2 linked regions of the Drosophila melanogaster genome follow. The protein of the gene in region 1 interacts with the protein of each later gene in a pairwise test. Each region holds a gene or a part of one and is shown in the gene's direction. Other genes may lie near its edges.

Evidence for each region.
Region 2: the proteins of Spf45 (region 1) and U2A interact in a two-hybrid assay, tested with the Drosophila melanogaster proteins (one study listed by BioGRID).

What each region holds. Positions count from the first base shown.
Region 1 is NT_033779.5:23,066,092-23,070,568, reverse strand, and holds Spf45 (Spf45), read left to right. Parts: upstream 1-2,182; 5' UTR 2,183-2,252; coding exon 2,253-2,369; intron 2,370-2,377; exon of another isoform or gene 2,378-2,424; coding exon 2,425-3,424; intron 3,425-3,485; coding exon 3,486-3,580; 3' UTR 3,581-3,695; downstream 3,696-4,477.
Region 2 is NT_033778.4:7,674,862-7,678,129, reverse strand, and holds U2A (U2A), read left to right. Parts: upstream 1-1,767; 5' UTR 1,768-1,894; coding exon 1,895-2,692; 3' UTR 2,693-2,768; downstream 2,769-3,268. Other genes in the region: LRR (Leucine-rich repeat), read left to right, coding at 1-132, 396-488; CG12107 (uncharacterized protein), read right to left, coding at 3,040-3,235. UniProt on the Drosophila melanogaster protein: Involved in pre-mRNA splicing as component of the spliceosome. Associated with sn-RNP U2, where it contributes to the binding of stem loop IV of U2 snRNA.

The sequences.
Region 1 (4,477 bases):
GGGTATATCGTCAACTGGTTAAGGCAACACTCGGCCAGGGACTACCCTTACCGACCACTGACTCCACTGTCCCTTCTGACCAGGTTCTTGTGTTATCGTGCTCCGCGGATCTCTGCATTGCACCGTTCTTCACCTGGAGTGATTGTCCTTGTATGTCCGCTCACTGGCTAATTCCCTTCTACGTCCTGCGCGTTCTCACAGACCGTTACCTTGTCGACGGGTGCGCGTTTTTCACTGACGGGTTGACTGTTCGCGGCGTTACTCTTACTTTCTCACTGTTCGTTCCCACTCGCGAATCTCTTGTCGCCTTGTTGGTATAGGTGGTCGCGGGGATCGCGTTATTTTTTTGTGCACGGTCCGCTCAGGTACAAGGCCACGTTAGTTCAAGGTGCGTCCTCTTTGTGCTCGTCCAAAGTCCGCATTGTTACCGTTCGACCTTGGGCCTTGGCCGTCCAGAGCTCGAGTCAAAGGTCCAGCGCAATACCGTTAGTTCACGGTCTCTCCACTTTGTCGGGGTCCAAGGTCCATTATTTTCCGTTCGACCTGGCCGCCTGACAACTCTCACATTCCAGCCGTCTTCGCTGTTGCTAAGCAGCTTTCCTAAGTTGTATTTTTTGAGAGTTTTAAGACTCCTCACAGTATTCAGCTCGCGACGTATGAAATCCGCATGTCGTGCCCTAAAATTTAGCAACAAGTTGTATATTTATATTTATTATATAAATATTCATTTTTAACTATGTATGTATGTTTGTATAGTTTTTATGAAATACATTTTTTAAAATGTATATATATTTTTTAAATTTATTTTTTAAATTACAAAAGTTTTATCCACAATTTTAGATAAAATTCATTTGATTTATTAGTTGAAATAATAAACATAATTTTAATTCTGTTATGTTGCTCACAGTCTCATGTTGAAGTATGTCTCCAGTACCATTTTACAAATATTAATTATAAACAATAAAATATATTTATGTGAACGGTTGATAATAATTTAAATAACATTAAGAATAAAAACAATAATGGTCAAGGCATTAATTTTTAAATCATTTTTAAATATGTAACTTCGCTTCTTAGATCAATATTAATTTCGGTTCGAAAATCGTCTTCTACGCTCTCAATTTCACGCGAGGCGGAGTAAGAGCAATTTTGGCCGTCACAAACCTCTTGATATTCGAATGTCTTTGCTTAGACATCGGTAGTCCCCGTGCCGCATGTAATTGGCAATTCTGTATGATCTTGATCAACACTAATCTACAAATCTCTTTAAATGACACAATGAAAATGCTAAGATATGCAAAACTTACGAAAAGCACATTCCCCGCAGGAATCTTCCTTTACTTTCTCAGTCGATTTATTATGTCTTGGCAATCGAGTAACTACAGTTCAATCCACTATACATTAACTGTTGCACAATTTATCGCTACAAAAACCATTACAAAATCAAATGGTTCGGCTAAACAGACGACGCTCTTACTGGCTCTCTCAAGCATTATTTATCATAAAATTTTGAATTGTGAAAAATTGATGCTTGTTTTGCTTTTATTAGTTTTAAGAAGTTTAACTTGTGTTAACTATGGGAAATCTTTATACAAAGTTATTCGATTTAAGCCCCGCCCACACTCTCATGAATAGAAGTAGTAACATTTTCCTTGTTTCGTAGCGTTTAAAGGGGTTTGTTTCCTATATATTCGATGATAGTAGTATCTTATCGTGCATAGGTAATTAAATACCTTCTTTCAAGGTATTTATTTTGAAAGCAACGAAAACATTATGAAGTACGACTTGTTTTTAACAACTGTAAGCTCTTCTTAATTTTTTTCTTCAATATCGATAATATTTAGCGTGTAAGTCGTAAGCTCTACTAACTATGACTATGCCATAGATGCAAGGCAATCGTTGTGCAATAGTTTTTATTTTAGTAAAACAGTGAAATTAAAAACAGTTCGATGACCCATGTAGTTGACTTAAGTTTCAACATAAAATAGACGCATGCGTTTTTTTGTGTTAGAAAAATTTTAAAATAAATTTAAATAAATAAATAGATTTGTAAACTTTTTTCTATTGTAGCTTATCTGTTCTTGCCCGATAGGGCATCCTTTCTTGCAGTGATATGGCTCTGTGTGAATCGGACATTAAGTCGAACAGTTGATAGTCATTAAATCTATCGGGCCTTGAAAATAAATAAAAACATTGTTGAAGCTCGTTGTCATCAATATCTTAAGGTGGTGCTAGTATTGATATATTTGTTAATGGATTTGTATGACGGCATTGATACGAGGGCTCGATCTAGCCAGATTGATGGATGGTCTTCGGGAATAAAAATGTTACAGACCCAGCTGGCAGTAAAAATGGCTGTCAAAAAACCAGTGAGTATACAATCTGCCGATATAGATCATACAATTATTAATACACCCTATGTAGCTTATGACGCCAGTGGTTAATCTAAGGTCCAAACGCCTTGCAGATCCAGAAGTTACATGTTTTGCTCCAATTACTACAGTTGTATCCAAACCATTAATAAGTGGTAAAGCCCTTCCATCCATACTGGAAAGGATAAACAGGGGGGACTGGGACGTTGCCGATGAATACGATCCTCAAAGGCCAAATGAATATGAAAAACTTAAAGAGAAAAGTAATGGCAGTGACAAAAATCGAGCAGGCGTAAGTGATCGAGAAGACCGAGATGACAAAGAAAAAGATCGTAAACGTGGACGCGTCGGTCGTCGAGAATTTTATAGAGACGAAGTCTCAGCCCCTAACCTGAAGCTCAGCGGGTTTGGCCACCGGCAAAACGATGATGACATGTACTTGCCATCTCCGGGCCTTGTAGCTAAACAGGGAGGTGCCACAATCGCTCCCCCTCCTTCCCTCCAAGAAATGTCCATTGATAGTGGTTGTGAAGCCACTAATACTATGCCATATTCTGCCAGCTCGGTGGCCGCCAAAATTATGGCAAAATATGGGTTTAAGGATGGTCAAGGTCTCGGAAAATCGGAGCAGGGCATGGCCATAGCTCTTCAAGTAGAGAAAACCTCCAAACGTGGTGGACGGATCATACACGAAAAAGACGTTTTTCTGCCACCCCTAGCATTGTCGCCACCTTCTATTGGCTCCCAAATAGGAACAAGTCCCAGCCACAAGGCCATGCCTCCTCCCCAGATGGTAGACACGGCGGCTGAGAGTGGTGACATCGGATACAGCATTACGGAGATTATGAAATCACCAAGCAAGGTTGTTCTTCTACGCAACATGGTAGGACCCGGGGACGTTGACGAAGAATTGGAACCCGAGGTAAAAGACGAATGCAACACCAAGTACGGGGAAGTGAACAGTGTAATCATTCACGAATCGTTCGGAACTGTGCCAGAAGATGCAGTTAAAATATTCGTAGAGTTTAGGCGGATCGAAAGTGCAATTAAAGGTTTTTATACATATGTGAATACTTTGTTTGGTAAATAGTTAGCTTTTATTTTTCTTTGCAGCTGTAGTGGACCTTAATGGACGTTTTTTTGGAGGACGTCAAGTGCGAGCGGGGTTTTACAACTATGATAAGTTTAAATGTTTCCAATTACATTAGAACTAATACAACTAAGATTGCATTTATTTTTTTCTAAGTTATTGATAGCCTAAAAAATGTTTACCGCACAGAACTAGTCTTGTAAATTTCTATTAAAAACTACTTTCTATCAAACAAAAACATTTTGACCATATTTATGTATATTTTTATTGTTGGGGTCGCTTACACAGTTTAGGTAACAAAGTGGAATACCCCTGGCTTTAGACCTTATGCTATGTTGGTTGGACCAAAGACACTAGAATAACAAGATGCGTAACGCCATACGATTTTTTTGAAAACGATTTTTTCGGAGCTGTTTTTTTACAGCAAACAGCTCATACAGTGACAGCCGGCAACTGTATGTGTGCACACGTATGCTCATGCATTGTTAATTTGACAAAAAATGCCCTTCACTTTACAAGTTTCTAGACTTTAAATATTTATTATTTTTTATCAATTGTCTCCATTTACAAAATTCCTGTTTTGCATAGCCTTAACGTTGTTATTATTTAGCTTAGAAATAGTAATAGCCGAATCAATGCACAGTGCCGCTCAACTGAATAGGTTGACTATTTTTAAATCCGAAACAAATTTGTATGTATGAATAGCTCAGTTATTAATAGCTGTTAAATAGCAAAGTTTCTGATCTCTTAAATTTGTTTTTATATCATTTTTTTTTTCAAAAACAACAAAAAATCTTCAATTTTTTGGCTTAACTGAATAGGTTTTACGCTTTTGACTTTACTTTTTGTTTGACCGCGTGATTGTAAAAAGTTAAATTCTTTTGTATTCTAAAATATAAATTATCTTTTTTAATCTTTTTCTCAAATGGTCCGCGGAAAACCTTTATCCGATTTTGAAAAAGGTCAAATCAAAGGCTATATTGAATCTGGTTTAAAACACTGTGTAATAGCCAAG
Region 2 (3,268 bases), on another chromosome or scaffold:
GCCTGTGCCAATTTAATCAGCAACGAAATCCTCAGTATGCGCAACGGACAGTTGGGCGCCAAGTCTGGAAGCTGCGCAGAAAGTGGTGGTGTGAAGCGGATAGCCGGCAAGGAGATCTCCACGCTATTCGAGGTTTGATCTCCGAGGCCGGAGCTGCAATGCGATAACTTTTATTCATCAGCGATCAAAATTGGCTGGCTACTTCGCTTGGTTGATTTCGGTGCTCATCCTGTGCGTCTAACATTCGCATTTGCTGCATAGTGTGTATTCCTTAAGTTGTGTCGTATTAGCCAGTATGCCGCATTTTGCCTGTAATTTCATCTAGTTTGTGTTTGCCTGTTTAGCTCCTATTTAATCGAGCCGTCTAATAGAATCACTCTTCCACTTACCCACAGGAGACATTAGTTGAAGAACTGCAGCAGAGCATGGCGACCAGACGCGGTTTTAGAGACTCGACCTACACCAAGGAGGATGTCGTTGATTTATAAGTGTTCTAGTTATATGCTCAACATTCCCTCACGTCGATCCCTAGTCCTTCACCCAACCTGCCACAGTTTCACGTGATAGATAGTAGGGTTGATGATAACGTTAAGTGATGATACTGATGATAAGGAGGAAATGAGATGAAATGGTGAAGACAGAAGGATAGAGGGAAACAAGGTTGCAACTTATCGTACTGAACCATTAATTTATGTGCAATGCCGCGTGTGTGTTGTTTTCATTTGGCAATTTAGAATGAACGTGATTTATTTATTGATACAAACCCTGATACTTTTATCCAAATTAACCTTTGCATATTTTTAAAAATGTTTTGTGTACTATATTTTATATTTTTATGTATTTAAATCAGTTAAGTGCCAATTATATACAGAATTAATCTACAAATATTTTTAGCGTGTGCTCTACATCAATTTCAATGAAACTAACGAAAATAACGCAATGAATATGATACACTATACATATTATGTAATTCGATTGAGTGTATAAGAACTATTTTAATGGGCTAAACCTAAAAAAATCTAAATGAAATATAATATTTTTTATAACTGCTTCCAAATACAAACTTTATGGTTTATTATTTCCCCTTTTCTGTTTACCTCCCCTATACACATACTTATAGTATTTATAGTATTTAAGCGACAATCCGTTTTCAAATTTTGAGGCGCGTTATGCCGCCAGAAACAAATGCATTTATTTAGAAACAAGGCGGAGACCGACGATCTTATTGATTATTTTCTAAATAGTTAACAATTTAAGAAACTAGGCGAAAACGAAACCGATATAAAATTACTAAGCCATTTAACAACAGAAAACCGAAATCTATAGAAAACTAATTACCCTTATCGCAAAACGATCAACTTCAATTTTGATGATCTAGTAGTTTGCACCAACGACACAGAATATATTCAGAGCAGCGTTTAAACTTTAAACCAGTCCACCACCGACCACACACTTCGAGTTTTGAGTGTATCCCGTTCTCATTCAAAACCCCGAAACGAAATAAGAGAAACTTAACGTGTTCATTAAAGTTAAGCAATTAAAACATCATTGTAATCTATTGAAATTCAAATTAAACGGAAACGATATTGGACAGTAGTGTTATTTATTTATTTTTGAATTTCGAAAGATCAGGGGCCCTATTGGCAGCATTGGAGTAATCCCAGTATTATTACGATATTTAGAATGGTAGAAGCCCAGCAGACCGATAAAATACCAAAACATTGTTACCACTAGATCTATCGATAGCGATGCCGGCATTGCTTGCTATCGGAAAACTGTTCATCACCAACTCGCGTCGGCAGCGAATTGTTTTTCTGCATTTCGGAAAATAAGCTTCAAAAGAGTATAAAAAGACCGAGTAAAGACCAAACGTAAGCATACTATAACTGCCAAGATGGTGAAACTAACGCCGGAGCTGATAAACCAGTCGATGCAATACATAAACCCATGCCGGGAGCGCGAGCTGGATTTGCGCGGCTATAAGATTCCACAAATCGAGAACCTGGGCGCAACTCTGGACCAGTTTGATACCATCGACTTGTCCGACAACGATCTGCGCAAGCTGGACAACCTGCCGCATCTGCCGCGCCTCAAGTGCCTGCTGCTGAACAACAACCGCATCCTGCGCATCAGCGAAGGGCTGGAGGAGGCGGTGCCCAACCTGGGCTCCATCATTCTCACCGGCAACAACCTGCAGGAGCTGAGCGACTTAGAGCCCCTGGTCGGATTCACCAAGCTGGAAACCATCTGCCTGCTTATCAACCCGGTATCCACGAAGCCCAACTACCGCGAGTACATGGCCTACAAGTTCCCGCAGCTGCGGCTACTCGACTTCAGGAAGATCAAGCAGAAGGACCGCCAGGCGGCGCAGGAGTTCTTCCGCACCAAGCAGGGCAAGGACGTGCTAAAGGAGATTAGCCGGAAGTCCAAGATGAGCGCCGCAGCCGCCATAGCTGCAGAGGCGGGGAATGGCAAGGGAAGGGGATCGGAAGGCGGACGACTGGCCAATCCGCAGGACATGCAGCGCATCCGCGAGGCCATCAAGCGGGCCAGCTCTCTGGCAGAGGTGGAGCGTCTATCGCAGATCCTGCAAAGCGGCCAGCTGCCGGATAAGTTTCAGCACGAGATGGAGGCGGTGGCACAGAACGGGGCGGGGCACAACGGTTCGGGGGCCGTGGCCATGGAATACTAGGACTAGAATTATCCGCTCATCTGTCAGCTACCTTATAACCGTAGACCAATATTTTTTAATAAAACACCAAAAGTTGATTCATCGCATTCTGCATTTCGGACACTCAAAAACATATAGAATCTTCTGTTTTCAACTAAGACCGCTGGCCGAAGGATCTTTCACGGAAAGATTCGGGACAATCGGTCACAACAGAAATGCATTTACATGACCGTAATTGGCTAAAAGTTTAACAATCTACAGCGAGTACAAAGGGGACACAAAACGAGAGGAGCTGCTGGCTTATGTGGAGAGTGGAGTGGTGTGGTGTGGACCTGGCTCCTGGAATCCGGTATTGCTGGGGAGTGTTATTAAGATCCTTTCGCCGCCATTATGGCGTCGTAGTGCAGGCCAGTGTAGAAGATGATCCACGTGACCAGGAATCCGGCAAACGACGTCATGAACCCCTCCTTGATCAGCTCCCATACCCCTCCGTAGGCGTCCTCGTCCACGTTCTGAAAGTTTATGGCGTACAGGTAGACGATCCCGCAGCTGATGCCGGCGAATCTGGGGGCGCATTGGATTGATTAAGTGAAGTGA